4 linked regions of the Tamandua tetradactyla genome follow. The protein of the gene in region 2 purifies or fractionates together with the protein of the main gene of each other region. This does not show direct contact. Links are inferred from orthologs where the notes say so. Each region holds a gene or a part of one and is shown on either strand. Other genes may lie near its edges.

Region 1 (7,567 bases), on a different chromosome or scaffold from region 2:
GACCACCTTCTCCCCAGGGGCACAGTTGCACCCCAGCCCCGGTGGTGCCTGGGAGGAGATGAGGTTTCAGCGAATGTCTGCCTGAAGGAGGCTTGCTGCAGCTGGGGGACGCTGTTTTTTCAGTCATCTGGGGCTCGGGGCTGGTGTGAAATCAGTGTCTACCTTGTGCTTTCTGCTTGTCTCTCTGCCTTTCTTAACGCCCTGTATGATTAGTACCCGGCTTAGTGACTCAAGGAATCTCTTCCCTTTGACCCTCCTCTGCCAAGCATGCTACAAGATCCTGCAGAGGTGAGGACAGTGCCGTGTTTGTGCTGTGGACAATGTGGACAGTGGCACCAGCCAGCACGGAACCTGGACCAGGCTTGGCGTGGCTTGTGGGGTTTGTCGTGGCCTTCCGGAGGGAACGGCTCCAGGCAGCTTTCAGCAGAGGGGGGCATGATGAGAGTCCACCCATCACCCCCTTTTATGGGAGGGGGTGGTAAATGGGCCTCAGAGAGGCAGAGGGATGTGCCCAGGTGTGCACCTGGTGGTGGCCTTGGGAGGTCTTGGGGAGCTTTGGGGGCTCACAGTACATCTGGACAGGGCAGGATGGCCCAGTAGGACAGGGGTCCTTATGAGAGGAGGAGAGGAGACCTGGGGAGAAGAAGGCCACGTGGGCCGAAGGAGGGACTGGGATGGTGTGGCCCAGCTGAGGGGCGCCCAGGTTGGCCAGCACTTCCAGCAGCCAGAAGGGGCAAGGAAGCAGTCCCCTATACCTCCATTTAGGACTTCTGGACCCCAGACCTGGAGAGAATAAATGTTTGTTGTTTGAAACTGCCCAGGCTGTGGCCCTTTGTTACAGCGGCCTTGGGGAGCTAAGACGCCACCTCCCCTGTGCTCTCTAGCCAGCTGGGCAAAGAGCTCTGAGTTCTGGAGGAGCCCTGCCTCCTCCAGAAGCAGGCCGCCGGGTACTGCGACATGGCGTGACACGTGCAGGCCGAGCAGGGACGTGGCAACCTACGTGCCAAGGCCGTGGGCTCGCGGACCCCATGGTAGCCCTGGGAAAGCCCAGACGGACCACACGGGCACATACAATAGGATGGCAACTCTGGGGTGGGTGTCCTCTGAGCTGGGCGCCCTGCAGGCATGGCCTCATTGCCTGCCGGAGGAAGGCAGAAGTCTGGGGACGAGGCCCATGGCCTGGTACCCCCTACCATGTGGCCAGCCGTGGCCTCCAGTGTGGGGAGGGGCTCAGACGGTGCTGGCAGTAGGACTTTCCAGCCCCGGCCCCATGAGGGGTGCCCCCCTCTGTTCACACCCTGGCTGACATCGACAGGGTGCCCCCCATGCTGTGCGGTCCCCCATGCACAGACACCACCAAACCATCATGCACAGCTATCTCTAGACCTCCTCTCTCCCGAAGGAACTGACTCTCCCCCCTTTCCTCTCCACTAGTTTGTCCTCTATGGCCCAATTGCTGCTTCTTTCAGGAAGCCCTCCCTGCCAGCTCTTTCTACCTCTGAGACCCTGCTCTAGCTTGCTAATTGCTGGAATGCGATATGCCAGAAATAGAATGGTTTTCAAAGGGGGGATTTATTAAATTGAAAGTTTATAGTTCTAAGGACATGAAAATGTCCCAATTAATGCAAGTCTATAAAAGTGTCCAAATTATGGCACCAACAAGAGGTTACCTTCACTCAAGAAAGACCAATGAAATTCAGAGTTTCTCTCGCAACTGGAAAGGCACATGGAGAACACAGTGACATCTGCTAGCTTTCTCTCTAGGCTTCTTGTTTCATGACGCTTCTCTGGGGGCATATTACTTCTTCATCTCCAAATGTCTCTGCCTGCACAGGCTCCCATGGGTCTCATGGGTCTCGTGGCTCTGTTGCCCTCTCCAAAATCTCTTTTAAAGGATTCCAGTAAACTAATCAAGACCCACCTGGAATGGGTGGAGTCACATCTCCCTCTAATCAAAGGTTAATACAATTGGGTAAGCCACAGCTCCATGAGATAATCTAATCAACTTTCCAACCTACAGCACTGAATAGGGATTAAAAGAAAAGGCTGCCTTCACAAGCGGGATCATGATTAAAACATGGCTTTTCTAGGGTACATAATCCTTTCAAACTGGCACAGATCCTAACGTGCTTTTGACCTGGGCACTCAGCCAGTGCAGTCTCACAGAAGCTGCCCCCTCTTTCTCTCTCCCACGGCCCAAGTCTGAAGATCTGCGTCAGGGGCTGAGCACAGCGCCCAGCATGGAGCAGGCTGCCCCACAGGCACCCACAACTCGCTGGCCACTCTTCACGCTGCCGCTGGACACCAGGGAGAGGAGTGAGGCTCTTGGCCCTCTGTTGGAGTGGCTGCCTCCCCTCCAGCGCTCCTCGAAGACCGTGACTGTGTGGCCAGGAAACAGCCAACCCCTCCTGGCAGCCACCAAGCTAGGAGGCCCAATGCCCTGAAGCCCACCCACGTGCTGCTCACACCCTGGAGATATACAGTGAGAGCAGCCACAAGGGCAAATTTTTTTTTTTTTTTTTTTTTTTGTATGCTGTATGGCAGCGGTCACATTTCATTCATTTTCCATGTGAGTATCCCATTATCACAGCACCATTTGTTGAATTTTTTGTTGGTTTCTTTGTTTGTTTGGGAAGTGCATGGGCCGGGAATGGAACAGGTCTCCCGCATGGCAGGCAAGAAGTCTACCACTGAATTGCACTTGTACCCCTGCACACGGGTAATTTTAAAGCTCCTCGTTGTGACATTTTATAAAGTAAAAAGAAACATGATATGAATTATAATAATCTGTTTTACTTAATCCAAATATATACAAAATATCATCATTAATGAGCTCTCTCATCTTCTTTCTTTTTCGTACTGAGTCTTAGAAATCTGGTACGTGTTTTGTGCCGAGAGCCCATCTCAGCTCAGACCAGCCTGTTGAGTGCTCAATGGCCGTCATGCCGCACAAAGCGAGCTTGTGGAGCAAGCTGGCTAAGCTGCCGTGCTGAGCTCACCAGATGACAAAGCTCCACAGTGATGGTGAAGGACAGCTGGAAGTCTGGCCTGGGTCCGTTTACAAGGCCCTGCCCACTGCCCAGGCACCTATGCCCATCAGAAGCCTGGAGTCCTGTGGGTTTTGGAAATATGTCTGCAGGAGAGACGACAGAGCCAGGGACCAAAGGTGCTACTTTGCGGTGATTCTGGCATAAGTCTCCCTGGGAAGTTGCAGGGAAATGGTGACATTTGAGCCCAGCCTTCAAGGACAAACTGTGGAGTCTGGAGAAAGGAGAGAGGAGAGACTATTCCAAGCAAAGCGAAGGAAATTGAATCAGGAAGAGCGGTGGCCCCCAAGGATGGGCACCTTCAAGGCATGGGCCCCTGAACTTTCTGCACTCAGCACCATCCTGAGTCCCAGGCCACCCCCAGTAGCCCCAGCAGCTGTGTCCCCAAACTGCCCAGGTGCTCACCCTGCTTGATAAAGGACCCACAGCACCTCCATGCTGGGCTTTAAATGAAGGGTCTGTGCTCTCAAGCCTGGAGCTGCACACAGGATCCGGGAACCCTCTGCTCTACACCAGGGTACAAACTGCAGAGAGCAGTGGGTCAGAGGGCTTCGGACAAGGGAGGTGGGGCAGTGAAGAGAGAGCAGCTGGCAGGCAGCTTTCCAGAAAGTCACTCAGTAGGATCCAGCACAATGCTGGGTTCATAACACCCCTGCCCCAGGGGTGGGCCTGGGGACTCAAAGGTCTGGCTTTGCCCAGGGGAGGGGTGGGTTCCTATAGCGAGAGTCCCATGCCAGGGTTGGATGACTGAGGCTTCTGCTTTCAGGCTTACTACCAATGTGAGAGCCAAGGAGAGAGCCCTGGGGCTGAGCGCGTATTGGCGCTCACGGCTGCTTTCCCCTTTTTCAGTGTGGAGAGAATCCAAGCCCACCCAGGCAAGAACAAAGGCTGTTTATCCAGAGCTTGCTATAGCAAGGAGTAGCCCACCATCACTCAAAGGCAGGCAGGGGAGTGGTGAAGCTTTACAGTGGATAAGAGTGTGCTCTGGTGGGAGCTGGGGGTGGGTGATGGGAAGGGGGACATCCCATGAGTTGGGTTAGGAGAGCAGATTTGGCTTTCTCAAGTGGATCTGAAGTTGGAAAAACGAGGGAAGCTGTCAGTTATCCATCAAGTCCTGGTTATTTGGGGGTCAAATATCACAGAGACGGGGGTTTGGCTTCCCAGGATGTTTACTATAGACAGGGCAGCCCCTGTATCGCTGGCTGCAGGTTATTGGCCGAGGTTTGCAGGCCACTCACTGTCCACTTGTATGCCCAGCCGCTCCCTAGGGTTAATAACAACTCCTCTCCCCAAAGAGGTGCCCCAGGGAAGGAAGCCATTCAAGTGGGGCAGCAGTGGAGCCGCTGTCCTCTCGCCTCTCTTCGTGGGGCCAGGGCTGAGTCCTCCCATGAGTTCCCTAACTCTGTGTTGAAACAGGCTAGGACCTGATTCCCGAAAGGCAAATGTTAGCTTAGTGGAGTGGCCTGTGGTGCCACGTCAGACAGGCTGACGCCCTCCCCCAGCCGCCTGGGGCCCTGACAGCGTGGCGGCTCCCTGGCCAGCTTCCACTCACTCCTTCCTGCAGTTTCATGGACCCTGGTTACACGGGTCCCTGGGGCACACCAGCGACCGGGGCGCCTTCTCCATACCCCGACCCCACCATCAGGGGGGCCAAAGGGAGGATGGCTGCAGGGTGAAGCAGTTGGGTGAATAAGCTTCCTACCCTCTGTTGAAGGACCGGGGTGCCAGCTGGGCCAGCCTCACAGGGCAGGAGGGCAGGTGAGTGGGCTGGGCTAGGCTGGTCTCTTCTGGACCACCGCGCCTTCGTTTTCTCATCTGGAAAATGAGGCTACAAATTGCAGTTCCCATCTCTTCATCAAGTTATGGCATGGGAGGCTGAGCTGGTGCCTGGCCTGGGGACCTGCTTGGCTCTGGTTCCTTGGGGGTCGCCAGGACCCCTAGTGCCCATTCAACACAGTCAACAACAGGGCGGAGATAAGGAGGGAAGTGGATTCCTCCCTGTTCTCCGTCCATGGGGTACAAGTGATTACGGCGGCACCCTCGTTTAGGGAACACAACTGAGGACGATCTGAGGCCCGCTGGGGGCGCAGACGGGCCGCTCGTCGCTGGGAGAAGCGTCAAGGCCTTTGAAAGGCCTTGGGAGGTGGCCAGCGGAGGAGGCGGGAGCGAGGGGAAGGACTGGGAAGATCTTCCCGGTGTAAAGCACAAGGAAAGCAGAGAGTGTGGTGGTCCCGCTCTCCAGCACCTGGGAAGACCGCAGGAGAGGGCTTGGGGGTGACCGAGGAAGGAGGCCGGATTTCTCTGCGGGTGCTGACCGGCTGGGGCGCCCGGGGCTTCGTTTGGCACCTGCTGAATACGGGAAGCCTGCGGGCGTCGGTAAGTTGTGGGGAACGCCCTGCTTCCTTCTAGGCTTTGAGGGACAAAGGAAGCGCCGTGCGAGAACGCGTTTAGTAAGTCGCAAGACGCTTCACAAAAGTTAGTTACAAACCAACTTCCGAGGGAGAAACAGGAACTGGAAACCCGGAACGGCTGTAACCAGGTAACCAACGCGCTCCCACTAGCGCCATGCGCGTGCGCATGCGCAGCCGGGCTCCGCCTTCGTCTCCGCAGCGCGACGGCCTTGGCGCATGCGCGTTTCCTTCCCGACGGTCCAAGCGTTCGGTTCTAACGGAAGACTCCTAAGAACGCGCCTGCGTCATGGGTCCTGCTAAGGTTCGCGGCTTGGCTGGGAGGAGCCGTTCTTGGTGAACCTACTGGCATCAGTCGTTCCAGGCTGACTCGTCCTTTGAGGTCTCTTTTTTTAACCTTAACCCGAGGAAAGGTTACGCGAAGCTTTCGTAGCCAGGGCGACGTCCCCGGCGGCCCCAGCCCGGCCCGCGCGGACAGGTGAGCGAGGGGCGGAGCGACATGGCAGAGGGGCGGGGAGAAGGGCGGCCCAGTGAGGGACGAGTCCAAGGCGAGGGGTGGGCGGCCGTCGCCCGGGGGCGGGGCGGGGCGGGGCGTGGCAAAGTGAGGGGCGTGGTTCCGTGTTGCGGGGCGGGGGCGGGGCGAAGGTGAGGGGCGTGGCGACATGACGGGAAGCGGGGCGGTGAGAGACAGGCCGAGGTGAGGGACAGGGAGGCAGCTGATGGTGGCGAGGAGGGGGCGGGGCGAGGGAGAGGCGTGTAGTGACCCGACGGCGGGAACGGGGAGGGGCGTGGTGGTAGACGGCGTGGGCGGGGCGAAGGAGGGCGGAAGAGGGGCGATAAGGGGCGGGGCGAGGGCGGGGTGCGTGGTGACGCGATGCCGGACACGTCGGCGACGCGGCGGCTGGGGCTCCCGGAGCCGGATGTGCCAAGATGGCTGCTGTGGGTACCGTGTCAGTTCTGGTGTCGTGTCTGCGCTGAGGGGGCTTTCCCCTGCGGCTCCTGAGGGGCCGGCCTTGGGGTTGCTGTGTGGCTGGCGGGACGCCAACCTCGGCTGTCTGCGCCGAACGGGTGAGGCACCGAGCGCGGGCCTCGGGGCTTGGGGGTCCCGCGGGCCAGAGCGAGGGTGCGGAGCTGTCGGGTCGGACGGAGGGGATGCGGCCAGGTGGACCGGGTCCGGAGTGGGCGGCAGCTGGGAGGGTCGGACCGGGATGACGGGATTCCGCGGGCCCAGGGGCTGCCGCAGCAAAATCGGGTCGGGGGCGAGGCCGTGCCCGGCACGGGTCTCTTCCTGGGGACCCGGTCCAGGCTCTGAACAGCCCGCCGGGTCAGATGCCTAGCGCAGGTGACGGTGTGGCCCGGCTTGTCGCCCTCTGCACTTTGTTGACTCGCCTCCCGAGCGAGCTGTAGGGCAGGGCTTACAGAGTCTCCGTCACAGATTGACGTGGACCTGAAATACACTATCGAGTCCTTGGCTAATGCTTGTCGGGCTTAGCTTGTCGTGGCTTCGTTGTCTTAGTGACGATGGCCTTTGTGTGGCTTGTGTTATTGATGAAAAATAAGCCAAAGAGCCCATTAAAAACCTGCAACGTTTAAAAAAATAGGGACACAAGAAAAATTTTTTAATAGTGTGTCCTTTGCTCTAAAAAGGATCTGGAGATGTTTTGCCCTCATGGGTTGAAGGATTCTTACTTAGCAATGCTGGTGCTGAGGTGTGTACATTTGACCCAAGAAGAAACATTGTTGCTGTTTATTTTTTCTTGACAGAGTGATCAAGATGCTGCAGGAGAGGTACATGCCCATGCCTCATTGGAGGGGGAAAGTGGAATGTATAAATCAAACATCGAAACCATTTTAATATGTATTTGCTGCTTCATTAAACACTTCAAATGGCTTTTAGATTGGGCATGGTTTGCTTATCATGATTTCGTTTCCAACATGTATGGTGCAGGTGTTAGCCAGAGAGGTGGTTCAGAGACCCCTCCCACCAGTGTGATGCCAAGAAGCAAGAAATCCCAGACAGTTGTTCCTAGATTGGTACTTTTGCAAATTCATGCAGCTTTTCTGCGGTGTATTTCTTTCTTTTTAACTATGTCCTTTCTTAGAATTCTTGTA
Region 2 (7,508 bases):
GTGTCCCGCTGCTGTTGTCCATTATCTTCTGACCAGCTAAGGAGAGAACAAGTAAACTGAGGCTCACCTTTGACAGGCTGTCCTCCCTGTCCCCACCCCACAGGCTCTGGTCCCCTCAGGCCATTCCTCATCCCCGTCGTGGTTACCTGTGGGCTGGGCATTGGAAGGCTCTAGAACGGCCCTGGAGCGGCTCATGAGGACAAGAGCAGATGGGGTGGCAGGCTCCTTGCGGAGGACTCTCTGGGGCAGGGTGTTCAGGACAGACTGAGCCTGAGAAGGAACAGTTGACAATTCTGAGGCGCTTTTGTCCCAGTGACCCGGCTGGAATGTGTGGCAAGCAGCATTTCAGTACTACTTGCTGCAAAGCCACCCACTCACCCATCCTTAGTTCAATGAGGTACACTGACACCACAGTGCCACTACTCTGCCCCAAGGCTCTGCTCACAGCCCCACATAAAAATGGGTGAATAGTAAACAGCCTCTGTTGGCCTAAGACAAGGGACAAAGGACTCAGCCCAACACCTTATATTATACTTCTTTGGCTCTGGCTCCAACCACGTTCTTGGGCATGAGGCTGTCCCCTATAGCTCCTCCCATAACATCAGCCCCCAACCGCCCAGTGCCCCCAAACCCAGGGGTGATAATGGGCTGGGCCAATGGACACCCACAATTCAAGGAATTGTAGCAGAGGTATTCTAACAGTCCTTTGGAAAACTCAGTCCATAAGGTTTAGGACTTCTTTGGTGGCCCACCGAGCACTTCCTATTTTCAACCTCTCAGGGCACTATAAACAGCTTTTGGGGGGGAGTGACTGATGTGGAAGTGACAATCGTTTCTCATTCAGAAGTGGCTTATTATTTCTCCATGACAGCTTCACTCAGGGATCCATAAGGGGGTGACGCAGAGGAAAAATCCCCAGGATGCCCAAGCCCCCAATAGAAAGCAGAGTCTGTGCAGGGCACCTTCCTTTTTCTTCAGCCAAGTGAGGAAGGAAGCCCCAGTGCCCTTAAAAACCTGTTCCAAAAGGGCGATTATCAGTACAGAATAGTTAATTAAGCAAGGTGAGCAAAATAGAGTCCAGAAATTGATCCACATGTATGTGGGAATTTAATACATATAATAAAGGTGACATTTCAAATCAGAGTCGACTTTTCAATGAAAGATATTGAGACAACTACCATCCGGGGGGAAATCTATTTAGATCCCTTCCTTACATGGGTCATTAAAATAAATTCCAAAGTATTAATTTAGACTTGTCCTGGACCCCTTTTGAACAGTAACTGTATCTAAATCCTTCTAGAGTCTATTTTTAGTTCTCACCTAACATATTTTTTCAGGGCAAGGGTAGGGAATCATGGTCTGCCTTTGGCTTGACGCTCAACCCCAGATGTCACCTGCATGTGACATGTAGGCCCAGCTCTGCAGAAGTCCTCACAGGCTGGGGGCCACTGGCTGGTCAGAGTCAAGCTGGCAGCACTTGAGAGGCCTTTCCTAGGATGTGGCTGTGAAGGACCAGACCCAATTCTGCCATCAAATTCCGGGGGCACCCCAATCTTGGGGTTTGTTCATATGAAACTTAACCTCACAAAGGATAGGTCAAGCCTACTTAAAATTAGGCCTAAAAGTCATCCCCGAGAGAACCTCTTTTGTTGCTCAGATGTGGCCTCTCTCTCCAGCCAACACAACAAGCAAACTCACCACCCTCCCCCGTCTACGTGAGACATGATTCCCAGGGGTGTGGACCTTCCTGGCAACATGGGACAGAAATCCTAGAATGAGCAGAGACCCAGCATCAAGGGATTGAGAAAACCTTCTCAACCAAAAGGGGAAAGAGCAAAATGAGACAATATAGTGTCAATGGTTGAGAGGTTCCAAACAGAGTCAAGAGGTTATCTGGAGGTTATTCTTCCACATTGAGTAGACATCACCTTGTTATTCAAGATGTAATGGAGAGGCTGGAGGGAACTGCCTGAAAATGTAGAGCTGTGTTCCAGTAGTCATGTTTCTTGAAGATGAGTGTGTAATGATATAGCTTTCACAATGTGAATGTGTGTCGTGAAAACCTTGTGTCTGATGCTCCTTTTATCTACCTTGTCAACAGAAGAGTAGAACATATGGGATAAAAATAAATAATCGGGGGAACAAACGTTAAAATAAATTTAGATTAAAATGCTAGTGATCAATGAAAGGGAGGGGTAAGGGTTATGGTATGTATGAATTTTTTTCTGTTTTCTTTTTATTTCTTTCTCTGAATAGATGCAAATGTTCCAGGAAGTGATCATGATGTGATAATATTGTGATTTATTGATTATATATGTAGAACGGAATGATCAAAAGTTAAGAATGTTTGCGTTTGTTTGTTGTTTTATTTTTTTAATTAATAAAAAATAAAAAATTCCGGGGGCGCCCATGCGATCGATCATATCCGGGAAGAAAATGCTTGAAGGCTCGCCCTCTGCAGAACCCCAAAGTCGGGACTGGGGCGCATTAGACACTCTCTAAGGGGGTACTCTCGCCTTGCAGTTTGGAAGTACAGAAAGGAAAGAGCCTTACCGTCTGCCGGCTGTAGGGCCAGGGGTGGGCGTTCTCCTTCTGGGTCATCCTTGGAGGGAAAGGGGGCGGAGAGCTGAGCAGGAGGAAGGAAACAGAACCATGAGAAGGAGAAAAAGAAGGAGCTAGAGAGGGAGGGGTCTGATCTCCGATCGGAAGCGCTTGCCTGGGGCAGGTCAGCAAGTCGGCCGCAGTCTGGGGGCATCCGGGCACTCGCCTAGACTCGTCGGCCCTGGTGCTGGCCCCCCTCGCCTCCAGGAAGTGAGCGCGGCTCTGTCCAACGGCCCCCACACCTGCCGGACCACCTGCCCTGTCCCGGCGCAGGGCCCGCGAAAGAGCCCAGCTCACCTGCAGCCCGCCGCGCAGCTGCTCACCCCGCCGCCCGCAAACGACTGAAGCTGCCCCGCAGCGCCCCCGCAGTGGCCCTTTCAAATCTCCCGCCCTGACCTTATTGGCTAAAGGCACCGCCCATGCGCAGTTCTCATTGGCTGATAGCCCCATGACGTAGGCCGCGGGGGCCCAATGGAAGGGGCGGAGCGAGCCGCGGCACACTAGGGTTCCGGCCGCGGGAAGTTTCCCTTTCCTTCTCCATACAAGTATTCTCATACTTTTTAATATAAATTTTTATTTAAACCTGTAGTGTATCTGAAATTTACTCTTGGGTATATATGAGATAGGGTCTAGCATTGTTTTCTGCCAGATGGCTAGCCAGTTGTGCCAGCACCGTTTGTTCAACAGCCCAGTCCCCTCACAGAATTTAAATGCCACCCTTGATATATTAAGTTATGTATATTTTGTGGTCTATTTCTGGGCTTTCTAATTCCATTAAGTTGTTTGCGTAAGTGTTTATTTTTGTGTCACTATTATCCTTTTCTTTAAAGTCCTTCACTCACATCCCTCGCAGGAGTTTTCCACCGGTCGACATTTCTCGGCAGGTCCCCTGACTTCTGCTGCGTCATTTGAACCCACTCTTTTTTTGTCCTTCCTGCCATGTTCTCTAATTCTCTGCTCCTTCAGACTCCAAGCTTCTATTATTTTGTTAAATAAAGAAATTTGGGACCACCTTTGAAATAACCAGGGGACGTTTCTAAGTATTGCCTGTTCAGCATCATTTCCCCATTCTAGTAGCACCACCCTAATTTCCCTTTAGGGAGCCCCCGGGTGTCCCCATTCTGTGCAGTCCCCATGAGACTGTTACTCATAGTGTCCAGACCCCTAGGTTGAAAGATGATACTGTGACCAATTCAAGCCAATCAGAATCTCTGCCTGGAGAGTTTACTTCTTTTTTTTTTTTTTTAATTTTTTATTAATTAAAAAAATTACAAGAAACACAAACATTCTCAACACATACACTCAGCAATTCACAATATCATCACATAGTTGCATATTCATCATCATGATCATTTCCCAGAACATTAGCATCAATTCAGAAAAAGAAGTAAAAAGACACAGAAAAATATAACAAACAGAAAAAAAAAAATTTACAGGCCATACCCCTTACTGATCCCTTTCATTGATCACTAGCATTTCAAACTAAATCTATTTTAACATTTGTTCCCCCTATTATTTATTTTTATCCCATATGTTCCTCTCATCTGTTGACAAGGTAGATAAAAGGAGCATCAGACACAAGGTTTTCACAATCCCACAGTCACATTGTGAAATCTATATCATTATACAATCATCATCAAGAAACATGGCTACTGGAACACAGCTCTACATTTTCAGGCAGTTCCCTCCAGCCTCTCCATTACATCTTGAATAACAAGTTGATATCTACTTAATGCGTAAGAATAACCTCCAGACTAAGAATAACCTCTGGACTCTGTTTGGAATCTCTCAGCCATTGACACTTGGTCTCATTTCACTCTTCCCCCTTTTGGTCAAGAAGGTTTTCTCAATCCCTTGATGCTGAATCTCAGCTCATTCTGGGATTTCTGCCCCATGCTGCCAGGTGGGGAGTTTACTTCTTAATCAGGGTGAGGCACAGATGAAAGGCAGTTGAAACTGAGTCATGTCTGGGCAGTGCCCTCAAAAAACTGGGTTTTTGTTACCGAAATCCCTGAGAATGCCCTGGTTTCTGTGCTTCCCAAGGCGTGATTGTTAGCTCGTCCTTTGATTCTGTGAGCTACCTGTTATCCTCTTGTTGTTGGAGTGAGCAAGATGTTGGTTTCTGTTGGTGACAAGTCCCTTCCTGATGGAGAGCTATTGTAGTGGACACTGTGGCCATCCAGCCAGCAGTCAGTCTCCCAGCTATTCCCGTTGCCTGAACACACCTAGGATTTTGTGGATTGGGCCCTGATTGATTTAAGACAATCAACTTCTTCAATTCTCTGGTTCAGGGAAAAGCATGTGACCTAAATGGGCCAATTAATGGGAATCTTAGTCTTAGAATTCTTACTTAGAATGCTGAGTAGAAGTTCCTTTTCTCCTGCTGGACGCGATCTAGGAAGTACACAGCCTGCACTGATGCTAGTGCTGTGCCTGAAGGATGAGAGAGACTGACGCTTGACCCTGCAGAAGTCAGAACAAGGCCTGGGAAGAACCTGAGTCTTTTATGCCATTGTCAAGCACAGCCTGCCTACTTCAAGACTTTCCTTATGGGAACGAATACGTCACCTTCTGTAATGCATTCTGGGCTATGAGTTCTATTCTTTGCTGTCAAAGGCATACTAATTTACACACAACTACAGACCTATAGTAGAATTGTTTAGGTTGGATGAGATGAAATTGATGATATCCAGTCATTATTTTTTTAATCCACACACAAAATGGAAATTTCATATGATTCAACCAGATATTAATCAAATAAATCCTTATAGGTTTCTGGATCAGTTCATAATACTTTTGGGTGCAAGTAACAGAAAACCCATTTATCAAAGGCATAAACAATGGGAACCTATTTTCCTTTACATAAAATGAAATGTAGAGGAAATGGGTGTGGCAATTTCTCAGCTGCTAAAACAAATACCGTACAATGGGTTGGCTTAACAACAGGAATTTGTCGGGTCATAGTTTTATAGGCTATGAGCTTCTGGCTGGACAGTGATCTTTGGGATTCTTTGGCTTTTCTATCACGTGGCAGTGCACATGGTGGCATCTCCTTGTGGCTGGCTTCTCTGGGCTTTGTTGACTTCTGGCTTCTTCCTGTGGCTTTCCTTCTCTCTGTCTGAATTTCACTCTGCTTATAAAGGGCTCCAGTCATCCAGATTAAAGTCGAACCTGAATCAGGCCACAGCTTAACGGAAGTAACATCTTCAAGATATCCTATTTATAGGGGGTCCACACCACCAGAATCCGAAATGTGGACCACGACCAAGAACTGGTCCAAATGGGGTACACAATTCAACCCACCCCGGTGGGTAACTGGTTCGAGAACCGAACAGTGTTGGAGATCTGGATTCTCCTCTCTGCAATACTCATTTCCCTTTTGGTGGCAAGAAGGCTGCCATTTGTCTTAGGGAAAACTGAAGCCTGCATAGAAGTACCCAGCAGATTTCTCCTTGGCTAGAATTCTGTCCCGCAACTAATGCAAAGGAGGCCGCAGGGAAAGTGAGTATCCCTTCCACCAGCCACAGTGCAGGCAGTGAGAGGCTAGTGGTGGAAATGGTTTCTCATAGTTGCCTTATATTTCATTCTGACTAATTAAAAAAGTCAGAGATCTCCACATGATGAGCCATCTCCCAGACATCTGATGATCATAATCACTGCTTCCATTTATGAAAAGCCGTTTTGTTTGTGGAGTGCACATTGTCTTCACTTAGAGTTAAGCCCAGCCCTGCTTCCCAAAATCAGGGAGTCTGCTTCAACTGCAGTGCCTCTACTTGGCATAAAGAGACTGGCCAAGAAGAATCTTATTAAAATCCTAGCACTTGAAGTACATTTTATTCCTCGTGACCTAGTGAAGGGACATCTTTCTGGATCCTGTCAGAGGTCAGAGTGCATGGGGGAAATGTACTTGAAAGATCAAGACAGTATGCCTGTAGCCTGGGGTCTTTAAATTCTGCCTCCACATTATGCCAGGAGATGTTTAGCCTTTGAGGGTATCTGATGGACCAGCACAGTGTCAGATTTTGCGTTATTCATAAAAACAAAACAAAAACTATTAGATCTTCCTGGTGCTTGCCCAAGCTAGTGAATTGAGTATAAAATCAAGAGCTTCTCAAAGTATTTGTGGGGAAGGACTGGTTATATTCAATCTATCATAGATGATTAAGTTTTACAAAATACAATGAACATGAACTCATTGGAAAATGAAATTTTGAAAACACAGAAAATACAAGCCCACGTATATATAATCAACATGTATTGAAGATATACATTCAATGTTGTTCAAGTTTGCTAGCTGTCGGAATGCAATATACCAGAAACGGAATGGCTTTTTAAAAATTTTTTTACATGGGCAGACACTGGGAATCGAACACGGGTCCTCTGGTATGGCAGGTAAGCATTCTTGCCTGCTGAGCCACCATGGCCCACCCATGGAATGGCTTTTAATAAGGGGAATTTAATAAGTTGCTAGTTTACAATTCCAAGGCCGAGAAAATGTTCCAGTTAAAACAAATCTACAGAAATGTCCAATCAAAGGCATCCAGGGAAAGATACCTTGGTTCAAGAAGGCCAATGGAGTTCAGGTTTCTCTCTCAAGTGAGAAGGCACATGGCGAACACAGTCAGAGTTTCTCTCTCATCTGGAAGGGCACATGGTGAACACAGCATCATCTGCTAGTTTCTCCTGGCTTCCTATTTCATGCAGCTCCCCAGGAGGCATTTCCCTTCTTCATCTCCAAAGGTTGCTGGCTGGTGGGCTCTGCTTCTCGTGGCTATGTCGTTCTTCTCTGCTCTCTCTGAATCTCCTATTCTCCAAAATGTTTCTTCTTTTATAGGACTCCAATAAACCAATCAAGACCCACCCAAATGGGTGGAGACATGTCGTCACCTAATCCAGCTTAACAACCA
Region 3 (7,557 bases), on a different chromosome or scaffold from region 2:
CCAGCCAAACCCGGGCCATAGCAGGAAGCAACCACCTGGCCTGTCTCAGCTAGGCAATTGCTGAGCTTTCTGCAGAGTCTGCCGAGCAGCTGCCAGGGAAGACAAAGTTAAATAAAGACCTCCAGGAGGTGGCAGGGGTGGCTGTCCGCCCGGCCTGGGCTTTATAGCTCATGTCTGTGAGAGGCCCGAGCATGCTGGGCCAGGCAGGAACCAAGGCTGCAGAAAGGACCTAACAGATAGGGCTGGGAAGAGTCACTTGCCCCCATGTCCCTTCTGGAAGCTCTAGAATTCTTTTACCGTGAGCATGAATTCCCGAAATAAAGATGAGGCTAACTGCTAAAACGCAGAGTCTTTATTATGTGCCAGATATTATCCCAAGAAAATTTTAGACTTTAAATAACATAAGCCTCACCACAAACCTATGGCCTGGGTACCAGTAATATTCCCAGTTGGGGAAACTAAGGCACAGAGGGTTCAAACAGCTCTTCAGTGGTGCAGAAGGAGCCTCGCTCTGAACCCAGGTGGCCGGGCCTGAGCTCAGAACCAAGCTGCCAGGCAAACTTTCTACTAATCTTACCACCCTCTCTGGAACACTTTCTCTCTACCAGGTCCCAAGCCAAGTTCTTCTGTGGACCCAATCTCGTTCTATTCTTACAACTGTCTCACAGAGGATGGGGTCACATCAACTCAGTTTGCAGGGGCTCAGGGAGGGTCTGCCTCTCGCTCCACTACAGGGTGAGTCGGCAAGCGACTGGAATGGATTTAGAATCCAAGCTTGCCTGTAGCTGCTGTGGGCACTGAGTCCTGCTGCTCCTCTACTCCTCAGCTCCCCACCAAAGCCCCGGGGCCCAGGAGACTTAGGAAAGGGTTGTAGCTCTCAATGGCAACACAGGAAGCAGTTCTGAGCCAGAGAGAAGGGTCTGGAGGGAGGAGGGCGGGCCTCACTCAGCAGGGCAGGACCAAGTGGCTTTCCAAGCAGCAGCAAAGAGTAACCTCTTTATGTTACAGAAATAGGTGTACCTAAGAATATTTAGGGCTTTGCGGAGATCTTAAGTATTTCCTATTACAATGCCACACAGGGTAAAAAACAGAAGCACTAGAACTTTCTTACCATACTTCAGTGGCCTGCCCAGAGGGCACACTACCCAGGAGACTGATGTGTAAAGGACTGGGAGGTTGGAAGGTGGCCTGGGGGCCAGATGTAGAGGCTAATGTAGTATCCCAGAAGGATGGGGAGTGCCCTTCTAGAAGTTTCTGGATAAATGACTGGGAGCTGGCACATACATGGGAGGGAGGAGTGGGAAATTCCTTACTGGAAGGTTCTGAGAGATACGGACCCCAAGCTGAGAGTGTAACAGGCTCAGGTACATTGGTGCAGGTATGTGGGTGCTGCTCCTAACTAGGGGAGCAGATGAGACCCCTACATCTTACAAGGGCTACCCTGCTGCCCGAAAGCACCATGCTGGTGGTAGGACATGGGTCACCCGGACTTGGGATTCTGGGGTCTGGATTTCAGGGTTCCGTTGTGGGCAGGTAGGCAAAAAAAAAAAAAAAAGGGGGGGGTAGGTAGTGAGCTTGGAATCAGGCCAGGAGGGCGTCTGGGTGAGAGCAGGGCCAATTTGGTGGTCAGAGATTTGGCAGATCAGGCTGGGGCTTGGAGTAAGGGGGAGTGAATGTGGAGTCCGTGGGCATGGGTTTGGGTGTGATTTTCCAGGCTCGGCTTGGGGGTAGGCAACAGCAGGGACCTGTACTGCCAAGTTATTGCAGGAAAGAGCTGGGTTGTAGTTACTCTGGAAGCCAAGGGGGTGGGGTTCCCGGTGTAATGAGAAATGGGCTACAGAGTAAATGAGGCTAAAGGAGAGTGGCTAGAATTAGCTCTCCATCAGGGTGGGAACTGGAAGTTTTGAGTCTGGGGGAAAACCTGGTTCCAAAACCGTGATCATAAACAGGACTGGGGATGCCGGCCTACCTAGCGGGTGTGGGGGTACAGGTCTACACTACAGTGAAGGAGTTACTAGGCCTGGGTCAGGGTCCCAAGTCAGGAATGGGCATCTCAGGGTAGGACAAAGTTCCTTGTTCTCTTTGGAGTAAGCAGGCTCTCTTTCTGGATCTGGTTGGGAATCCTCAATCATAAAATGCCAAGAGGCAATCCCAGGACAGAATTAAAGTATGGAGGGTCTAGATTCGGACGCAGAGCTCTGGGTGTAAATATAGAAGGTCCCAGACAGGACTGAGAGTATCTCCAAGGCTCGTCTTGAGGAGTACAGACCCTGGGGAAGGTGTGCTAGGGATTATCAGGAAATCTCACGCAATAATCCGAGGGGGTCCAGCGGCTCGCGGGGGTAAATTGGGAAGGAACTCAGGGTCCTGGAGCTGAATCGAGGGACCCCGGGCGACAGTGAGGGTCCAGACCGTGGAGTGGGAGTCCAGATGTCAATGGCGGGGTCCCTCCCTGGGCGGAATCAGGGGTCAGGGACCCTGGAGGGGGGGCCCCGGCGGAAGGAAGGCGCGGAAGTGCGCGAGCTCTACCTGATGCCGCCAGCGGAAGAGGCTGGCCGTGTCGATGTTGGGGTGGGTTTCGTCCTCATCGTCCGACACCTCGATGTGGTCCCACACGCTGTAGTCCACCATCTTGCCTGGGCGGCCCAGCCCGCTCCGGCTGCGGCGGCGGCGGCGGCGCTGGAGACTCTAGCTGGCGCAGCCCCGCCCCTTCCGCTTCCGCCCAGGCGCGCGCGCGCCCGCCCGCGGTGACGTCACATCCCTAGTAACCGCGAAGGCGGCACTGGCAACTGAGCCAGCCCTTAAAGGGCCCTGCGCACGTGTTCGGTAGTCCGGGAGTCCCCGCGTAGAACACACCTCATCGAGCACCCGGGCTGCCCTGGGCACCTCCTGGGGTCACATGGGCATGAGCTCCCCTTATCTCCAGGCCCCCCTCGGTGGGCCCTTGCGATGGCCACGGGGAGGTGGGGGAGTTGGTGAGGCTGAGGGCGAGGACTGTCTCTTTGGCCAGGCCTCAGTGACATCATCCGGAGCCCCCTGCAGGGGCGGGGCCTCGGCGAGAAGACCCGCCCCTACCCCTTGTGAGGGTTAGCCATCCCTGACCTGGGGAAGGGCGTCTGATCTTAAGGGACCTATCCTGCCAGAGGGGTACCCTTGGGAGGCTCTACGTGGGGGAGAACGATTTGCCCCTGCTCTTGGGGAGGTGGGCGGTGGGAGGGAATGTGGCATTGCCTTGGTGTTTGGGGTTCCCTCGGCTCGGATCACGGCCTCCATCTACCAGATCCCTTTTCTGCCCCCACGTTCTGGCGCACACACCCCCTCTCTGGAATCACCTGGGCCCCCCTAATTCTCCAGCGCGCCCTTCGCGGCGTCTCCCCGTACGACCACTGAGCGTCGCTAATGTCTAGCCAGCGGCGGGGAAGCGTGAAGGGGCGGGTCGGGGGCTTTCCTCGGCATGGTAGTCTGGGGCCGCTCACAGCCCCTCCCCTTTCGTGGGGGGCCCCCTTCCCGGGCCGGCGCTCCCAGGACTGCCGTTACTCTGAGCTTGGTGAAGCCGAGCGCATACTTCTATAAACCCAACCCACGTTTTGATCCCGGCATAAAAGTCCGCGTTGCAGCCTAGGGCCAGGTTTATCCCAGATTAAGGGGCGCTGGGCAGGGGGGCGTTTGAGAGGGGAGAAACTCCACCAACCCGACCAGGGGCGCCTCTTTGCAGACTCCCCGGGGGCGGATTTTTCGGGGGCCTGGAGGGAATGAAGAAAAGGTCTCCAGATGGGGGGTGATTCCCCGGCTCTCGGAGGAGGAGGGACCAGCCAGACAAAAGCGCCCTCTCGCGCGTTCCCCTCGCCCTCCATTCAAGCCCGCGGGTGGGCGCGCGGGGGCGGGGGAGTCCCTCTCTCCTCCCCCTCCCCCTCCAGCCGGGCCAGTCCAGCCTCGCAGCGGCCGTCACGGCCCAGGCACGCGCGCGCACGGACCCACACCACAGCGGGACTCATAATCGCACACACACACACACACGCGCGCGCACATACACAGACACCGGCAAACAAAGGGTCTGGACGCCCCCTTCCCCTCCTGCCCCTAAGCCGGAGAGGGCGAGACACCCCATCCCCAACGCCCCCCAGTTAAGGTAAGCTTCCGGCTACGCGTTGCAGTGGGGAGGGGGTCCTGCGCTCTGGAAGGAAGGGACTGGGACCATTGAGGGGGGGCTTCCTCTGGCCTCCAGAAATGCTGGGGTCCCCGCGTCCACCCTTTGCAGGCTCGGGATGTGCGGGTCGGACCCTGGATGCTGAGGATTCCCAGGTAGAGAAGGTGGGGGGCAGGAGTGGGTCTCTCCCTGACTTCCGAGCTTGGAACTGCCCCGCCCCAGAGAACCAGGTGCCAGGATCCCCAGCTCCCAGAACTAGGGGCAGGGTGCCGGCAGCTCCCCCATCAACGCCCAGCATTTCCTAATCGACTGCCAGCAAAACATCTTCAGCCCTGGAGGCCGAGTGAGAGAAACCATCCCGAGTTGCTTTGCACTCTCCCTCTGTCCCACCCCCACCCCCACCCCCCACCCCCGCCCCATCAGTGCACCCCCGTTGTGTTTCTTGTTCCTGGAGGGGGAGGGGCCGGGAATGCCCCAGCTTCCGCTGCTGCGGTGGGAGCCAAGGAACGGGGATTTCCCTTCCCCTTCCTGAGCCTCAATTCCTTCATCTGCAAAGTGGGTAAAATGACCCGTAGGTAGCTGAGCGAGGGCCAGGTCCTCCTGTGCCCCATCAGGCATTGTCAGCTCATCCCACACCTATTTCTTGAGTGCCTACTGGGCACTGGGCACCTGACAGGTGTGGAGGTCTGCGGCAATAAACAGAACCAGCCAGGCAGGCTGCTAAAGGAAGGAGATCAGTGGGTAAAGGGAGAAGAGCCTGTGGGCAATCTCAGACTGCCAAGAGGAAAATTTGGTCAGGCCTAGAAAGTTGGGAAGTGGAGTGGGGAGGTGGGGATATAGGACTCACATTTAAATAGAATTTCTGGGTCCTGTCTGCCCTCCTTGTGCTCTGAGCTGCAGGATGGTCGGGCTGAGTGCAGAGCCGCCCAATAAATGTTGAATAGATTAAAGGGGGGGGTGTGTTAGACTAAAACTAAATTCGTAGGCTTTAGATCATGAAGCGATGTTATCATGAATCAGTCCAAACCCCATCCCACTTTACATATGAAATGATTAAGTCCCTGAGCCCAGAGAAAGGGGAAAGATGTCACCTAAGGCATCACCCGCAGGGCAATAGGGTGTTGTCCTTCCCATAAAAGTTTACAACCTGAAGGCATGATTGTAAACATCTGGGAAAGGAAGGGGGCAGAGGGTAGCCAGAGCCTGTCCCTCCTCACACTTCCACAGAGACACAGCCCTGTATTCATTCAGTATGTAAGTATTTACTGAGAGCCTACTATATGCCAGGTGCTGGGGAGCCAGCAGTGAACAAAACAAAACACCTGTCCTTGTGGAGCTGACATTTAGTGGAGGAAACAGAAAAGAGGCAACATATACAAACAAATTAATAAATAACAAATTGTTATTAGGATTGTGATGGAAATAGAAGGTTTTATAACAAGAGAGAAAAATTGGGGAGGTGGGCAGCGGACTTCAATTTCGGTATCTGGAAGACCTCTCAGAAGAAAGGAATTACTCTTCACACACACACTCAAACCCACACAAACACAGCCACACTAACAAATACCAGAACCCAGATAACATGAGGGCACATAGCCCAGCAGTGGCTCTGCAGAAATTTGAACCCAAATCTACCCATTGTGTAATGCTGCTTGTCGCTGCATCTGCCTGTATGACCCCACCCCCACCCTACCCCCACCCGTATCCTGGCAAAGTCACAATCACGCAGGCACATCTGACCAAATGCCCATGTAGAACTCCACCTAGGTAGGGTTGCTTTGTCACACACATACACTCCTACAGTATTGTCTGTCTCAACTATGCAACCCTGAGGCTTCTAGAAAGCTCTGCCGGTTCAGTGGCACCTGCACAGCTGTGTCCAAAGTCTCATGTACACGGACATGTGCCGAGCCCTGCTTCAGCTCCAGGCATGGAGGCCTCGGTACTTCTTGCCCCTCTGCAGGACTGGCTCCCAGGGACAGGAAGCCAACAGAGATATTTGTCCTCACTTCTTCTGAGGGACTTGGTGAGTGGGCAGGGGTTGGGGCGTCAGGTGAGGCCAGAGGCTACCAGCCGGGTGGGTGCCGATTGTGCTGACCGGCTAGGAGCAGGTGGGAGAAGCCTCTCTCAGCCTGAGCCGGGTGCCAGCTGTCCAAAGCGACTTGCTCTGCCATCTGGACCCCCTCCCTGGCCAGGCTGCTGCCCGGGGGAGGGGAAGGCAGGCTTGCTTTTTGCTTGGTGTGATCTCTGCAAAAGTGCACGCATGTCTGGGCTGAGCTAGGGCGCGTGTTTCTGTTGCTCTCCCTTGGGCTGTCAAGCCCCCCTGTCTTCCATTCCTTCCTTCCACATCTACAAATCTTTGAGCACCGGCCATGGGCTATGGAGTTTCCCTTGTTCAGAATTCTGAGGACTTTCAAGACGGTGATAGTGGAGATAAACAAAGCACAGGTCATTCCAAGAGTGTGGAACCCTGTACCACTTCACTGGCCGCACACCCATGAAGCCGGCTCTGGACAAAGCCTAGAATAAGAGAGAAAATTCCCCTGCCCTCATGGACCTGAGGGATTGGGCAGTGGAGGAACAGGTCAATGTAAGATGTACCAGGAGTGATGAGAGAGAGAGCTGAGAAGAGAAGTAAAGCTGGGTGACGGGTAGAGAGGGACAGCATGAATGTGTGGGGGGAGTCCATCTCTGGGAAAGCTTCCAGAAGGAGGTGACTTTGAGCAGAGATCTGAAGGAGGTAAAGGAGTCAGGCAGATTCATTCATTCCTTCATGAAATATTTGGTGAGGACATACTGCAAGCCAGCATCGTCCTAGGCTCTAGAGACCCAGCAAGGAAAGAGACCACCAACCCTGCCTTGCACCCTAATCAAAGGACGGGGCATTAATAAATTAAAATAAGTCAATGATTTTGTTTGAATTTATAAGTCTAAAACAAACCAAACAAAAGCAGAATCAGGGGGTCAAGGAGATTGGAGGAGCACAGGATATCGGAGGCTTGTTTTCCTGATAGCAGGAATAGCAAGTGCAAAGGTCCTGGGGTCTGAACATGCTTGATGAGTCTGCGGAAAAGTGAGGAAGCCAGTGGGGCTGGAAGGGAGTGGGAGAGGGTGAGGGTGGCAGGAGGTAAGATCTCTGAATGTGTTGGTCTCTCTCATCTGTCTAAAGCTCCACGTGACTCAATAACAATAGTGATATTATTATTATTACTGGGCTACCATTTTGTGGCCACCTCCTATGAGATGGGCTCCGGGCCCAGAACTTTACATGCATTGCTTTACCTCATCCTCACAACACCCCTGTTAGCTAAGTACTAATGTTATCCCTGTCTTACAGATGAAGAAACTGAGGGCCAGAAAGGTTGAGTGACTTGTCCAAGGTTATGCAGCTAGTAAGTGCAGAACTGGAA
Region 4 (7,431 bases), on a different chromosome or scaffold from region 2:
TGTGAGTGCTTCTTCACCACTTCTTTGACCCGCCTCTCCTCTAAGTACTCAGTCTGGTCTTCTTTAAGGTGCAAGATCACTTTGGTACCCCGGCCAATAGGCTCCCCTAGAAAGTCAATCACAGTGGGGTATAAATAGTTGAGACTAATTGAAGAAATGTACTGAAAAAAAAACTGCTTTACCTAGAAGGTATCCCCAAAGAATTCTAACCCAGTCAACTTACCATGGTCAGCACGAACAGTGAAAGAACCCCCAGCGGAAGACTCCCAAGCATACTGTTCATCATCATTGTGCTTTGTGATCACAACCACTTTCTCTGCCACCAAGTAGGCAGAATAGAAGCCAACACCAAATTGCCCAATCATGGAGATGTCTGCACCAGCCTGCCAAAAAAGAATGTTTTAAAGTCAAACACCAGTTTAAAACGAAAGAAGCCAGGAAACATTTCAAAATGTAATGGTGGAGGGATGCATGGGTAGGTTCAGTGTTAGAGTTCTCACCTGCCATGCAGGAGACCCGGGTTCAATTTCTGGCCCACGCACAAAAAACCATGCTGTAAACAAACCCCCTATAGTATACATATTTGCCTCTCTACACATATGTATAAATATAGAAATACATACACATGAAGGAAAAAAAAAGTGTACGCCCTGATGTAATGTCCCATACCTGCAGTGCCTCCATAAATGCTTTGGTACCAGACTTGGCAATGGTTCCCAAATTATTTATGAGATCAGCCTTAGTCATGCCAATGCCTGTATCCACGAGAGTCAGGGTACGTTCCTGGGGGTTGGGGATGATGTCAATTTTCAACTCTTTACCACTGTCCAACTTGGAGGGGTCTGTCAGGCTCTCATAACGAATCTTGTCCAAAGCCTAAAAATAATCAGAGTAGTGACTTTAAGATTCTGTTCTTAAAACTCTCCTCTTCATCCAAAAGGAAACCCTTTAGTTTTCTACTCCCAAAACACCATCAATTCTGATTGCCACTTACCTTGAAGCTTAAAAACCACAGATTATTTACTAACTCTACCCCCAAGGTAGTCCCTTAGAGACCCTAAGCCCTCCCTTTTCTTTCAAACTAAAGACGGTCCACAGGGCAAACCTTTTTCCAAAACCTGCTGGTGTATCCCATTCAACAGTAGCCCCCACCAAATGTTAAACCACTGCCTTCCTTCGTTTTCTGGGATGCTAAAAGGAAAGAAAACACCAAATCCAGAGCACTCACATCAGAAGCATTAGAGATCAACTCCCGAAGGAAAATTTCCTTGTTAGAATAGAAGGTATTGATGATAAGAGACATAAGCTGGGCAATTTCTGCCTGGAAGGCAAAAGTCTCCACCTCTTCCTCTCCATGGTGCACTTCCTCCGGCATCTGCAGTAAGAATGATCCAGAATTAGAAAGAACATATTCATGTTGTCCTTGGAAATAAAACAGCGCATGCTTGGACCCATTATAGGCAATCTTTAGAGATTCACTTTTCAATTGTTTAAGATTTTATGTAAACAAAATTTGACTTATACAACCGTCTCAGCACGGAGTCCTATCCATTTCCAAGGGTCTAGAGAAGCCCTTCATAAAGACCAAGCAGCACCATGAGTAGCCAATCCAGGAAAAAAAATAAACAAGCATCCTTTAACAAGATGTACAATTTCTTTAAAGACATGTTTTAAGAACCCAGCTCCTCAGTAAGTGGTCCAAACATTAGCAGCTTCAGCATTACCTGGTGGTTTGTTAGAAATACAAAACAGGGTACCACCCCAGACCCTCTAGACTCTAATAAGAAACACAAGTAATCTTTACGGATACCTAAACGCCCAAAATCACTATTACCCTTTCTGTGGCAGAAAAAAAATAACAGTATGACTAGATTAAAGCTAAAACGACGTTGATTGGAAACTGCTTCCCATGAGGTATTATCTCGAGTCGTCAGCATATGGATTCACCCGGGACTAGGACAGCTGCCCACAAGGCGGGGAAGTCAACCCCTGAGGAACTATGGAGCACTCTCCATGGGGGACTGATGAGAGGCAAATCAGAAACAAAGAGCCGAGGTTAAAGCCCCGTGATCTTTAAGCACAGGTACCTGAGCCAAGCACAATTAAGATGGTGGCCGCAACTCGCCGGGCCGACCCTCGTCACTGCCGGACATGCGCCGGCCCGGGCCACACGAGGAGGGGGCGCCGCCGCGCAGCCTCCCTTCGCCCCAGCATCCAGACAACGGGGCGGGGCGCCGGCTTCCAGAAGCTTCCAGAACAATCCCACCTCTCGAAGAGCAGAGGGAGCCAATGGATCTTCCAGTCTGCCCCAATCCCTCTCTTTAATTCACATCCACCCCCGGCCTCCGCCGCGAGACGCAGGAAAGATCTGGAATCAGGAAACTAAGTACGACGGACCTCAAAAATCTGCAAGTGTTCTTTCCCGTCGCGAACCCTTTGACCAAAGCCCTTCAGGACAAGTGCGTCCTAAAGTACAGGTAGCAACACCTGGATGTGCTGAGTCATTCTTAACACGCACACCCACACCTCTTACCGACCCCTCCAGCACCTTGGAGTCGCGTCCGGAAGTGGAGGGACCAACATGGCAGCGTCCCTGGACGGCGCGGCCACCACGTGCGGCTGGGTGCCCACCACCCTGGTCCCAATCCGCGGCCCACTGAGCCCATGGCTATTCGCCACCCAGGGAAGCCCCACCACCAAAGTACAAGGGAAATGACAGGGAAAACTGTAGAAACCTCGGCCACTCCGAGAGAAATTACGAGGAGCCAAACCTCAAGGCTGCCACAAATAATTCTAAGATTTAAAAATGCCAAAAACGATGAAAACTCGAAGTGCTTGCGATTGAAAAGCCTGGAGTACGAGACCCCAACCTTACCTTGAAGAGAGCGAGCAGCAAGTACCAGGGAGCACAGCGGGCAGGGACGGTGTCCGACTCACACGCAAGATATAAGCTGCGTGGGGGTGACTCAAGAGAGCGGCTGGGCGCCCCCAGCAGCTTTATGTAAGGCGAAGCACAGCACTGCCGCCTGTCCCCGGATCCCTCCGCCTTAAAGGAGGATGTCCGTCAGCCGCGTACCTGCAGCCGCCCGCCCACCTTGACGTCATGGGCCAAAATAGGACAGGGGGCGCGTGCTTAGTCTCAGAATACAAATCCGTTGCACTTTTACTTGTGTTCACAGCCCCATTCCTGTAGCTCCAGGGCCGACCCACCCTCAGGATTAAATATTGGGAATGCTCAATTGGCCTAAACTGTGCATCTGGAGGGCGCCCCCTACAGACCAACTTTGGGCACACCTGTAGGTAGGCATACTCCTTGTAAAGCGAATTATTCGCTGGGCAGCAGAGGCAGAGACAGCTAACTACCTCAACCGCCACTCCCAGCCCCGACCTCTCTCTTAGAATCTGCCTTACACATCCCGACAGGGTAAGTGGGTTTTCTCTGAGGACCGAGAACTCGAGATGCAACTTTGAACACACCGCCTTCCCTTGCCCGGCCCTCCTGCGGACGAGCGGAAAGACCCGACTTGCCGCGGGCGGGGCTCCGTGGGGGAGGGGCCGGCTCACACAAGCAAGGCACTCTTTGCCGGTGCGCAGCGGAAGGAGCGGCGATAGTAGTGCTGCGATTCTTCCAGCAGTTTCCAGGCTCCTCTCGATGGCCCCACCCCTTCCCCTCGAGGCTCCACCCCGCCGGCTCTGGCTGGAGCGGTGTCTTTCTAGATCGTCGCGCTCTGCAGGCTGCTCTGCTGGACCTCACGGCGGGGCGTGGAGGTCCCCTACAGGCGGGATCCTCTTCTCCATTGCCCGGACCCAGCGGGCCCTGTATTGCCACGTGGGTGGGGTGGAGCGTGAAGGAAGTGATTGGTACCTGTCCTCCCCCAAGCACTCAGACGACACAGGCTGTCGGAGCCGCTCCCAATCTAAGGGACCCTTCCCGGCCGCCACAGCCCCTGCATCCGCCCACGTGCGCGGGGCGTAGCAACCTGCGTCCTCTATCCGGGCATGTCCGAGTGTTTTGCAGACTGGTTTCTTTCTTCCTTTCTTTTTTTTTTCTTGAGTCTTCTCGCCTCTTTCTGCAGTTGTCTGGACTTAAGGGTGGGGTCTCCGGGGACTCCTGGGAGGCCGCAAGAAGATGCAGGCCACTGGCCCACTCAGGCGGCCTAAACCAAATTGTTGCTCTTCAGCTGCGGTCCCGGAGCTCCCAGGTTGTCCGCCTGCCCAGCAGCCTGCGGACCGCCATACCTCGCCTGGTGTTGTCCCCTTTGCCTGCTCTTCCCACTGGCAAGCTCTGGGGAGCCTGCTGGACCCACAGCCCTTCCATGTGAGAACAGCCCTTCCCTGCTCTGTTCTCTGTAAATGCCCGGAATTCCTTTCCCAGCCTTCTTAGTCCACCCCTGGAATGTTGGGGGTGGTGTACCCCATCACCACTTGCAAGATCCTCCTACCTCCCCAGCCCTGGCGTCCCATCTTCCTTCCAGTTCCTAGTTCCTTTGTTGCATTCCAAAATGAGAAAAACTGCTGCTTAACTCTATCTTGTCCCACCTCCTCCTTTGAATCCTTGCCGCAGCCACTGTTATTTCATCTCTTCTTGCCCTTCTACTCCCCTTCCTTAGAAGCCTGTGATCTATTGGGGGGGGGGGGGCATGGGCACTGCTTTCCTGATGAAAATACAAAATGAAGAGCATCATCCCTCAGCACATCTCTCCCTTGGGCAGAGGGACCCTGCTTATTAAAAATCTCCGTGGTTGTCAGCATTCACAGTATCTCTCAAGGAGGTAAAGTAACTGCACCATTCTATGTATGGGGACTAGAGGCTTCAGAGACTTCACTGAAGCTCAGAGCCCTTACTCCACCAACTCTTCCCTCCTCCAAAAAGGGGTGGAGAATGCTGTATCTGGGAACCCAAGTCAAAAACTAACCGGGAGTTGCCCCCATGGATGGGCATTCCCTGAGCTGGACACCCACCCCCCTACCCACTCCTACTTCCAGCAGTGTCGGGATGGAAGCCCCCTCCAGGACTTCCCCCAAACGGGAATATCTCAAATCTTGCACCAGCACAGAAACTCCACCTTCTCCAGGGAGTATTCCAGGATGGCTTCCAATTGTCATCCCCATTTACTTAACAGTCATTGAGCCACCACTGTAAGCCTCACCTGGGAATGCACAGATAACAATGATAGGAGGACAAGGAGCACCCTGCCCAGTGGGGTTGCTGCAGCAGGCCATATGTGAAGGGGCATGGATGAGCAGTAGAGTCCCCCAGCTCAGTCTGGGAAAGAGACATGTTCAACAGTAATAGCTAGCCATGCCATGGCATAGGTCTACTCCTAGGAGACATAGAGCATAGAAAGGCAGAGTCCTGTTAAAGGGACCGTGATGAGGGAGGAGCCACAAGTGGCTCTGTAGGCAGGGGTCAGGTCACAATGGCCTGCAAACGCTGGGTTAAGGAGTGCTGAGATGAGTTTAAGGATGAGAAAAGACATTTAGAGAATTATAGGGCCTTAAAATTACTTGGGGTCTCTGAAAGCCTTATTCCCTTATGCAATGTGCAATGGACCCAGGATGATGTCAGCTTCCAATGCCCTCTGTTCCTGGTCAGGCCTCAGAGGCCTAGATCAGTCTTCTGCTGTTGGAGGGCGGCCGGCTACAGCAGGGGTCCACATGCTATGGCTGGCAGGCTGTGAGCCTTCTTGTTTTTGTACAGCCTATGAGCTAAGAATGGTGTTTATATTTTAAAATGGTTGTATAAAAACCAAAATTATATATGTATATGTATTTCAATTTGTATGCTGTATGGCGGGGTCACATTTCATTCTTTTTCCATGTGAATATCCTGTTATTGCAGCACCATTTGTTGAATTTTTGTTTATTTGTTTGCTTGCTTGTTTGTTTTAGGAAGTGCATGTGCTGGGAATCAAACCTGAGTCAAGAATTCTACCGCTGAACTATCCCTGTACCCTTATGTTCTAGTTTGCTAGCTGACAGAATGCAACACACCAGAAATGGATTGGCTTTTAATAAAAGGGGGTTTATTTCATTAATTCTTCAGAGGAAAGGCAGCTAACTTTCATCTGAGGTTCTTTCTTACATGGAAAGGCTTAGGGTAATCTCTGCTGGCCTTCTCTCCAGGCCTCTGGGTTCCAACAACTTTCCCCAGGATGCTTTCTTTCTGCATATCCAAAGGCCTGAACTGAGCTGAGCTGCGAGTGCCGAGATGAGGTATGCTGAGCTGCTTGGGCTGTGCTACGTTGAGCTCTCTCATTTAAGCACCAACCAAGTAAATCAAACATCATTCACTGCAGTAGGCACGCCTCCTAGCCGACTGCAGATGTAATGAGTAACAGATGTGGGTACCATTGGCTCATGTCCGCAGCAGCAGAACTAGGCACGTTCACCTGGCCAAGTTGACATCTGAACCTAACTACCACACCCTACAGCAAAATAATATGTTTGCCGTGAAAATTCAGATTTCAGAGTCCATAAATACTTTTATTGACATACAACCACACTCATTTGTTTACGTATTGTCTATGACTGCTTTGATGCTTTAACAGTGAAGCTCAGTAGTCCTGATAGAGACTGTAGGCCTCCAAAGCCTAAAGGAGTGCTTATGTCACCCTGTAGGGAACAACATTGCAGAACTAGGTAAAAGTTTGTTCTAGATAAATCCAAGTGAAGTCTGGCAGGAGGCATGGAGACTCAGCCTGGGCTGAGGCCTACTGCTGCTGCTCAACTGGAAATTGTCACGCAGCTGCAGGGGAGCATCCTGAGATAAGGTAAAATGGGTGGATGAAACTACCCAGGGCATCAAGATGGCAGCTCTCGCCCCTTAATCCCCAGAGCCAGTGACTTCTCAAGCTTGGCACCCACCCACTATATCCTGTCACTGTCCAAGCTGCCTGGGGCCTCTCTAGCCCCAGGAGGTTTAGATCCCTGAATTCTACAGGGAATACCTGAATTGACACCCTTTTATGCCGATGGCTTTGACAGCAGGTGTGTTGTACCATTGTGCCGGTTGGCAAGGCCATCCGAAGCTCCATCTCTTTGCCTCAGTTTCCACATTCCACCGGCACATGAGAAGTCTCACACACAAGTCTTGCTCCCTTTTTTATTAGTATGTTATATGTTTTTATACTATAGCGGATGGACATTTTTATTCAGATTCTTGCAGAGTAGAAAAGTAATTGATTTTTGTTAATCATAAATGCAATGGCTTGGTAAATACTTTATTCTTAATTTGTCTGTCAGTTCTTTGGTGTTTTCTAGGTACAATCCTATCATCTGAGAACCATGACAGCTTGTCTTTTCCTTTTCTAATTCTTGTATCTCATTTCCTGTTTTACTCCACCTGCTGGGACCTGCAGGACACTATTGAGCAGAAACAGTGGTTCTGGGCATCTCTGGCTCCTCTGATTAAAAAAGGAATGCTTCTAA

Evidence for each region.
Region 1: the proteins of AURKB (region 2) and SEC16A purify together in Homo sapiens (affinity purification with mass spectrometry; 3 studies listed by BioGRID and IntAct, with this or other methods). This does not show direct contact. The link is inferred for Tamandua tetradactyla from reciprocal best matches to the Homo sapiens genes AURKB and SEC16A.
Region 3: the proteins of AURKB (region 2) and CDC37 purify together in Homo sapiens (affinity purification with mass spectrometry; 7 studies listed by BioGRID and IntAct, counting the BioPlex papers as one, with this or other methods). This does not show direct contact. The link is inferred for Tamandua tetradactyla from reciprocal best matches to the Homo sapiens genes AURKB and CDC37.
Region 4: the proteins of AURKB (region 2) and HSP90AB1 purify together in Homo sapiens (affinity purification with mass spectrometry; 6 studies listed by BioGRID and IntAct, counting the BioPlex papers as one, with this or other methods). This does not show direct contact. The link is inferred for Tamandua tetradactyla from reciprocal best matches to the Homo sapiens genes AURKB and HSP90AB1.

The regions. Positions count from the first base shown.
Region 1 is NC_135328.1:126,035,448-126,043,014, reverse strand, and holds the start of SEC16A (protein transport protein Sec16A), read left to right. Parts: upstream 1-4,552; 5' UTR 4,553-4,805; intron 4,806-4,867; exon of another isoform or gene 4,868-5,423; intron 5,424-5,669; exon of another isoform or gene 5,670-5,933; intron 5,934-6,318; exon of another isoform or gene 6,319-6,523; intron 6,524-7,567. UniProt on the Homo sapiens protein: Acts as a molecular scaffold that plays a key role in the organization of the endoplasmic reticulum exit sites (ERES), also known as transitional endoplasmic reticulum (tER).
Region 2 is NC_135332.1:62,040,887-62,048,394, forward strand, and holds the start of AURKB (aurora kinase B), read right to left. Parts: upstream 3,012-7,508; 5' UTR 2,899-3,011; intron 2,879-2,898; exon of another isoform or gene 2,717-2,878; intron 2,627-2,716; 5' UTR 2,602-2,626; coding exon 2,554-2,601; intron 271-2,553; coding exon 147-270; intron 37-146; coding exon 1-36. UniProt on the Homo sapiens protein: Serine/threonine-protein kinase component of the chromosomal passenger complex (CPC), a complex that acts as a key regulator of mitosis.
Region 3 is NC_135337.1:91,390,694-91,398,250, reverse strand, and holds the start of CDC37 (hsp90 co-chaperone Cdc37), read right to left. Parts: upstream 3,004-7,557; 5' UTR 2,632-3,003; coding exon 2,530-2,631; intron 1-2,529. UniProt on the Homo sapiens protein: Co-chaperone that binds to numerous kinases and promotes their interaction with the Hsp90 complex, resulting in stabilization and promotion of their activity. Inhibits HSP90AA1 ATPase activity.
Region 4 is NC_135331.1:101,857,789-101,865,219, reverse strand, and holds the start of HSP90AB1 (heat shock protein HSP 90-beta), read right to left. Parts: upstream 3,008-7,431; 5' UTR 2,876-3,007; intron 2,194-2,875; exon of another isoform or gene 2,088-2,193; intron 1,376-2,087; coding exon 1,229-1,375; intron 877-1,228; coding exon 670-876; intron 384-669; coding exon 224-383; intron 107-223; coding exon 1-106. UniProt on the Homo sapiens protein: Molecular chaperone that promotes the maturation, structural maintenance and proper regulation of specific target proteins involved for instance in cell cycle control and signal transduction. Undergoes a functional cycle linked to its ATPase activity.